Drosophila melanogaster: one gene and its partner. The protein of the gene in region 1 purifies or fractionates together with the protein of each later gene. This does not show direct contact. Each region holds a gene or a part of one and is shown on either strand. Other genes may lie near its edges.

Region 1 (3,876 bases):
TGCTTTGATTTTAAATGGTCGCGTACCAACCAAACATATTTGGATTTATAGGCTTTTTTCAAATTTATATATATACATATAAACCCAAAACCCCATGAAGGGAATACGAAACGAAGCGAAAACCAAACAAAAATACAAAATAAATATATATTTTACTATTACGAAATTTTATTAAACTACGCAAACGAGTACTCAATGATTTTGCTCCTATTTAGCTGAACTAAAAAGAAACAAACGAAATAAAAAACACGCCAAAGATGTCTTCTGCTTCATTTTAAGTACATAGCCCCCAAACCCGATTCCAAATTACCAATTCCTGATTCCCACTGGCCCCTTGGATGATTTTCGATGAGAATCTGGATCATCTTTGGTGGCTTTCGATTACGAAAATGCAAAAACCGAATCTCAATATGTATGCAAGAAAATCAAATTAAATGAAAAGTTATATATTACAAACTGCTATATTGTATGTACTCGAACTAAAAAACGAATGAGAAAAAAAAAAACAAACACAAAAACCTAAAAGAAGCAAATTTAAATAAATAACAATATTGAGACAGCACACTGAAGGTTCTTTCCGTCTCTGACGAAAAAGATAACGATTGCGATGGCAACTAAACGCAGATAGCTGAAGGTAAAGATAGTTTTTGCTCTAGAAATATTTTCTTGAGTATTTACGATACTTCCCACATTCATTTGCAAACAAAACAGAAGCTCTTGCTAAAGTCCAGCATTAAAAATATTAATTGTTTGCATAATTTACAAGCTCACTTTAGCCGCCGACTGGCCTCAGCTGGCGCAGACACTGCGCTAAAATTATCTGCTCATTGTTAATGAAATTTACGTGTGCAAACACAACAGCTCACTTAGATAAACAGAGTCGGACGGATGCGCGGCAAAGATGAAGACAGCCGCCCATCAGGGCATGTGGCAATGTGTAGTATGTGACTGGGGTTTTGCAACATTCTTGGCGCTCAGCTCACTTGACGGTAAATTAAATTTTATTTATGTATAAAGAAGAAGGCCTAAGTACGTCGTATGTGGCTTAAAACTAAGCAATAATGGATTTGTAACCTGGACAACTGCTGCTACTTCTGTTCGACCGTGCTTAGCTGGTTCTTCAGATGGTTGGCCACATACTGCCAGTACTTGCGACGAATCACATCGTGTTTGGTGGCCATGTCCTCGCACAGACCGTACACCTTGCGGGCGAGTTGATCGCTATCGCTGGCCTTTAGTTGGAGCGCCTGCTCCTGGTAGAGATCGATGAGGAAGGCCAGCAGGTAGGGCGATCGATTGCCAGCCTGGTAGAGCTCCTCCACAAAGTCCACGACATCCGGGTAGCTGCTCAGCAGGGCATTTCCACTGTCGCCCTGCCGCATCACGCCCACCAAATAGTTCCAGGCACTCTCGTTGTTTTTGATGATGCGAATGCGATTCATCGTGTACGACAGTTCGCGCTGGATCAGCTCCGGCGTGAATCCAAAATGCTTGATCACAAAGAAGCGCTGGTTCCAGGCCGAATTGTTGCGCTGATCCTCGCTAATGAGACGATCCACAAAGCTAAGTTCATCGTCATAGAGACTAAAAGTAGTGGACATTAATTTATAGAAAGTAAATCTTAATAAACATACGACTACTCACTTAAAGCTGCGAATGGCCCACTGGCGATGTTGCCAGGCGTGGTAGTTCTTGGCATCGCCATCGTTGACCAGGGCGTTCTCAGTAAGCTCCAGCTCGTTGCTGGGATCGTTCAGCATCTCGACGATGACGCGACGGTGGTGCCAAACCTGGTAGTTTTTCGAGTTCTGGCCAATCACCTCGGTCAGATAGTCCAGTTCCGCATACAGATCAGCCTTTAGTTCGCGCAGAACGTCGCGTCTGTATTGCCAGACCGTGTAGTTAGCCGGATTCAGACGCAGTGCGTCCGTGGTTAGGTCCAAGGCACGTTGGCTCTTCTCCCCCCGCGCAATTATGGCCCTCATGTAGTCGAAGACCTCGCGAACTACGATGTACGGAGATATTTGCTCAGATAAAGTGACATCCAGAGATAAAGCCGCATGCATTACTCACACTTTTGACTGTAAGCAATGGACACCACCGGATTGGGACCGTCGTCCTGGGCGAGCGGTTGCACATCTTCCCAGTCGGAGCGTTCGCTGTAAGCCAGCCAGTCCGTGCCCAGATATTCCTCATCTGAACTGTCTCCCATCGCGGTTAGTTAAAAACAAAACTGTTGAGCGCGGGTGCGGGCGGAATTTTATGTTGTTCTTTTTTGTCCGAATTTATCGGGCCTATCGATATCGGGGGCGTTTTATTGTCCGAACCTATCGGTGTCGATTTCTCGATAGCAGAAGGCGGTATTTAATACTAAACTAGAAATACCAGCGGCTTTTGAAATATTATTTGAAATTCAAAAATAATAAATACAAAGGTTTTACAATTATTTTGTTTAAACATTTATTAAGAGTTCAATAAAAGTGCACAAAGTGACTGATTTCTTTAAAACTAGACGTAGACATCCGAGTGCTCATTTTACCATAATATTCGTTTCATTGGTATACGAGTAATTCTAGAAACGAGGCTTAAACGTGGCCGGATACTGATTAAAGCGCGGACGCAGTGCAGCTTTTGACTTCTCGAACTTCTCCCCCGAGTGGCCAAGGATCACACCATCGACCAGCTTGCCAGGATGGTCAGCAGCATTGGATCGCTCCGCATTGGCTTCGGCCACATCGATGATCCGCGGATTCTTGCGGTACCTGTACCACCAGTACTCAAAGACCAGCGTGATGCAGGCCATTCCAATGCCCACGAATATGACAATGAAGACGCCGCCAATGTTCTGGATCGAGATGCCATCCGATTGATCCTCCGGCTTATCGCACTTGGCCAGAGCTTCGTCGTTCTTCCACCACTTCTCCTTGAGCTTCTCCAGCTGTCGTTTGTTGAGCAGGGTCAGGATTCTAAAGCACCACAACGATATGAAGAAGCTCACATCTATATTTTCCCATTACTCACGCATTATTAAACTGATCCTTGAGATGCGATCCCTGCTGAACAGCTATGGCATAGGGTTTCCGGGAGAACTCCTCGCCCACCACCTGCAAATCACAGTTGGTCAACTGCAGGTAGCGTATATCGGTGGCATCGCCCAGAAAGGCAAAACCCGTGGCAGCTGTCGAATTTCTAACCCGGGCCACCGCTTCGTCGAGGGTGGCCGGTAGCTTCGCCTCCTGCATGGCCTGCCACATCTTGGTATACTTGTCGCTCACTGGATAATCCCAAACAGCCAGCTTGGAGCGCTCCACGGCGGTCAGGGAGTCGTTCAGCGACAGATCCTTCCAAATCTCGTAAAACATCTGCTCTATGTTGGACATACGCTCGAAATATGTCATCGCAGATGAGCCATTCAATGGAGCGTATAGGATCTTGTACTGCTTCGCCAGGTCATCCAAGCTTTCAACGGGCGTATCCAAACGTGATACGGTCAAGAAGGCAGCCAAATTGGCCGTGTACGAAGCAATAATGATAAAACTTAAGGGAAGAACAAAAAAACTCTTTTAAAAAGGAAAGAGTTTACAAGCAAATGAAGAGCAACTACCCACCCGAATAGCCACCAGGTGGCGGCCACTAAACGGCCAGACAGATTCTTTGGAGCCTCGCCACCGCCTTGAGGTGTCAATGAAGTCATGCAGAACCAGAGGCACTCCTTCAGATTGAACTCGCGCTTCTCCTCGTCGTCCTTGTACTTCTCTCGATTGTTCTGATAGCTATAGGGACTCCAGCGATCGAAGATCCACATGAGAAAGCTGGTAAAGAAGTAGGCAGCCAGGATGCAAAGCCACACGTTCGTTTCCAGCACGGTAAGGAACT
Region 2 (4,524 bases), on another chromosome or scaffold:
CAGCCTGTGTGCCACAAAGTTCATAGTGCGCGTGCCTCGCGACAAGGACATTGGCTTGATCTTCGGTGAGCTGCAATTGCGATTCGCTATGATTCTTCGATTGAGAATCAGATCCCAACAGATCTGACCGTCACCAATCGCATCAGGAGTGACAAAAGGGAGACGCTGGACTTCAATGTCGTCTCGAATGGGGAATGCACTGTGAACACGACCCATGGGGAGCAGGTGCACGCGATGGGAAGGATCTTTGGCGGGGATTTTGGCTCCGTCGAACCGGGCAAGAGTGAAACTGTCTCCCTGGTCTGGCCCACTGTGGTAGGTCCAATGATCATTGATTCTTATAGATTTACACTTGCATATTGACATATTGGCATATGAAATTGCACATTCCACATTTGCTTACAGTCTCTGTACAACCGTGTGGGCAGCTGCCCCATTCTAATCTCAGCCACAAGTGCCCACGCTACGGATGCAGTGGCAACCGCGAGGCAGGTGCTGCACTTTGACACCCGCTTTGAGACCCTGGATCCGCACGGCAACAAGCTGCGCCGGCGGAAGGATTACAAGGACTGTCGCAACTGGGACAAGGATTACCTGCGCAACTGCACACCGCTGAACTGTGAGGAGCGTTACTTTGGGAAACGGAGCTTTTTCAATAGGGAAACGGAACAGTGCGAACCGGTGACTGATTGCTCGGCCCCAGGCGAGTACTACGACATCTTCAGCAACGAGCGCGTCGATCCTGGCAATTTCGTGTCCGAGGAGGAGCTGGACCTCATTAAGCAAGGAAAGTTCGACTTTAATTTTTTGGATTTGCGGGGGCCACCATCGGTAAATATTGTTAATACCAATAACTTTTTGTTTTTACCTTTTCTAAAATATTGAAAATCTGCGTGCGTTTAAATACCCATATCAACGCATTCTCACAGGCGCCATCTTACGTATTTGGCTTGAAGCTCGTGCACTGCTTGCATCGCAACAATGGGGTCAAGCAGTGCGTGCGTATGTACAAATTTTTTGTTGAGGAAGCACTAAAGTAAAGTCGTGCCACATGCGTGAATATGGCGCCGTGGCTTAGTTGGTTAAAGCGCCTGTCTAGTAAACAGGAGATCGTGAGTTCGAATCTCGCCGGGGCCTATTGGAACACGATTTGAGTGTGCCAGTAATATTTTTTCTATTATATTTTCTATTTCTATCAAGCTATTATTTTTATATACTAAATTAATCTTACCGTTTAGCAGCATGAGCCGAAAGCCAACAAAGCGCTTCCTTACAAGAAAAATACCAGGCCAACAAGGCACTTTGTCCATTCCAAGCATGAGAAGTCAGATGATTGCGACAATTTGCGTAAGCTAACCCTGGCCGATTTTAACGACTGCTTTCAGCATTTGCAGGATGGTCAGTCCGAGCCGGTCGCAGTTGAACCCACAATCGAGAAGAAAATCAAGAAAAAATCGCCATTTGAGGTGCCCATGCTAACGCAGCTCTATTACGACTGGTATCTTCCTTTAAGGAGCGATAGCTGGGGGGAAGGCGGAGAAATCGGTGCCATAGGTGATCCCAGTCCACAAAATGTCTCATCGGGATCGGAACCCCTCATCACGTGGATCGGCAAGCTGGATTGGAAGGGCTGGCTGTTCCTGATTCTCAGAGGAAGCTTTTTCGTGAGTTTGTGATGTCGGTGCCCGAACAATGTAAATTTATATTATACAATTATTGCAGATCTTATTGCTAATTGTGTTTCAGGTTTTCGCCACTCTGACGGCCTATTTTATAGTGTGTCTATTTGTCTATGGATTTATGGAACTGTATGGCTTGTGGACTAGTGACGATGCACCCGAGACATTTATGTTGGACTCCAGTTCTCAATCCACCGCCTACAATCTCGTCACCACAGAAAGTTTGATGTCACATCGATAACCGAGTTTTAAGAATTTTAAATGTGAATTTATGGTCTTTTTATAAATATTTAATTGTATATTACTGGCTTTAATGTTGGAAATAATGAATTATTAAAATGTAAAATTTTTTAATATCTAGCCAAAGGAAAATAAATCGAGTTTTTGTATAGGGAATACCCTAATCAAATAAAAAGCAGTGTTGCAAGTTGAATTTACATCACACAAACAAAAACCATTCGCTTAAAATTCCTGCTCGGCAAATCTTTTTAGTTTATTTAATTTAATTTAACCGGCTCGGAGTAGAAATGGGAACCGAGGAGGAGCTGATGTTCCGCAACTTCCAGCGCCTGAAAAGCTACATCTTCGACGACGAGAAGGTGTCCACCACCACATCCCGCGAGCAAGTGAGTAATCCCCGAATGTCGCCCAGGAAAAGATAAGAGCCGATGAATACTTGCAGCAAAAGACGGAGAGTTCGGTGGAGAAATGCTTCGACCGCTTCGAGCAGATAATGTTCACCGACCCGCGCCTCACCCAGATCTTCCGGCTGGAGCACCAGTACTACCTGGACGCGATGCTGAGGCGGCTGCCGTCCAATTACGAGTGCCTGGACAGCAGTCGCGCGTGGTGCGTTTACTGGATCCTGCAGGCGGCCCAGCTACTTAGCTTTAACTTCGACGACCAGACATTGAACCACGTGGTCCAGTTTCTAAGCAAGTGCGTCTTTGAAGGATATTTCTCTAATAGGCATCCTTAATGCTCCAATCACTCTTTCATAGCTGCCGTTCGCCGACTGGGGGTTTTGGAGGAGGACCTGGACAGTATGCCCATCTGGCGCCCACCTATGCAGCAGTGAACAGTCTGTGCATCATCGGAAGCGAGCAGGCGTACCGTGCCATAGACCGACCGACTTTGGTCCAGTTCCTGTTCAGTGTACGTGACTCAGACGGCTCCTTCCGGCTCCACGTGGATGGTGAGACGGATGTGCGTGGCGCCTACTGCGCAATCTCCTGCGCAAAGCTGCTAAATCTTCCCGAGCCAGTGATCAAGGAGCTATTTGCCGGCACTGGCGACTGGATAGCCCAGTGTCAGACATACGAGGGAGGATTTGGAGGAGCCCCTGGTCTGGAGGCCCATGGTGGCTACACCTTCTGCGGAATCGCGGGCCTGGCGCTGCTCAACGAGGCTGATAAGTGCGACAGGCAGGCTTTGCTCAAATGGACACTGCGCCGTCAGATGACCTACGAAGGCGGCTTCCAAGGGAGGACCAACAAACTGGTTGATGGCTGCTACTCCTTCTGGGTGGGAGCCACCATTCCCATTACGCAGGCAACGCTATCCGGCGTCGATAAGCAAATGGAGCACACCCTTTTCGATGTGGAGGCCCTGCAGGAGTACATCCTGCTCTGCTGCCAAAAGCAGAGCGGCGGGCTTATCGACAAACCCGGAAAGTAAGGGATTAATGCCAACATTGTGATGTTTTTTAATGTAAAACCCATATTTTCAGACCGCAGGATCTCTACCACACATGCTATACTCTTAGTGGCGTTTCCATTGCCCAGCACTCGGAGTGCGCCAGCAGCCCCCAGGTCCTGGGCGACACCATTAACGAGCTACTGCCTACCCACCCACTGTTCAACATCCCACCAAAGTCAGTTGCAGCTGCCAGGAGCCACTTCAGCAATTCCAATGACACAGAGTTCTTGGGGAAAGACAGTCCCAGCAAGGAGGAGAGTTAAGGCTTCAGGTCAGGAGGAGGAGCCTGCGTAATGAGGACGTTTTGCTGGTGGTTTACCTTTAAAGAACTAAACTTGGTTTAATAAATTAATCTTTGAAATATTGTATTTTTCGCTTCTTGTATAAATGTACTTATTGGAAAAGGAATTGATTAAAATGTTTAACGTTTTCTAAAAAATATTTATGTCATATATTATTTCGAAATAAAATTATTATGTTTTCAAATAAATTCATGTGTGATTTTGTACAACAACCCAATTGCTCATTATAAAAAAAAATGAGATGAAACAAATAACTTTTATAAATGTGGCTTTGAATCCGAAAGCTATTATTTTGCCCCCAATGTATTTCAGCACGTTTATATGTGAATGGTAAAACATGAATAGTTTGCGTTGTGAATGGCATTTTGGGACTGATTTCAAATCGCAGCTTTGCCTTCGCATCCTTTTTATGTTCTCCAGCCACAGGACATTGAAGAGGAGGACGCCTGCCCAGGGCATTGACCGCCGGGAGTACATTGGTCACCTGGTCGATGAGTATTATACGACAACCAACATCGGTAAGGTTTTTATTCACGTCATTTTGCCGGTGTGAATTCATTTTTGATTTTCATTATTAGAGGCCCAGCAGCAGGTGACTGCTAATTTGGCCAATTTTGCATACGATCCCATCAACTGGTCGCATCTCCTGGAGGCGGACGCCTTGGATGTATTTGTGGCATCGCTGGAGACACAGGATCAGCTATTAAAAGTGCACGGAATTGCGGCATTGTGTAACCTTTGCCTGGGTAAGCAAACATTTGATTTTCAAACCAACCTTGTTCATCATATTCTTATTGCAGACAAAACGGCTGCCAAATTTATCAGAGAGCAGCTAAAACTGCTAA

What was found.
Region 2: the proteins of Fnta (region 1) and Fntb purify together in Drosophila melanogaster (affinity purification with mass spectrometry, with the first as the bait; one large-scale study listed by BioGRID). This does not show direct contact.

Annotation. Positions count from the first base shown.
Region 1 is NT_033779.5:4,828,396-4,832,271, forward strand, and holds Fnta (farnesyl transferase alpha subunit), read right to left. Parts: upstream 2,299-3,876; 5' UTR 2,213-2,298; coding exon 2,074-2,212; intron 2,006-2,073; coding exon 1,645-2,005; exon of another isoform or gene 1,585-1,644; coding exon 1,089-1,584; 3' UTR 819-1,088; downstream 1-818. Other genes in the region: Ir25a (ionotropic receptor 25a), read right to left, coding at 2,573-2,966, 3,022-3,537, 3,609-3,876.
Region 2 is NT_033777.3:16,430,877-16,435,400, forward strand, and holds Fntb (farnesyl transferase beta subunit), read left to right. Parts: upstream 1-2,121; 5' UTR 2,122-2,206; coding exon 2,207-2,305; intron 2,306-2,361; coding exon 2,362-2,618; intron 2,619-2,680; coding exon 2,681-3,352; intron 3,353-3,408; coding exon 3,409-3,640; 3' UTR 3,641-3,864; downstream 3,865-4,524. Other genes in the region: CG31279 (uncharacterized protein), read left to right, coding at 1-65, 122-315, 406-831, 1,239-1,664, 1,723-1,920; CG14881 (uncharacterized protein), read left to right, coding at 4,089-4,197, 4,258-4,425, 4,480-4,524.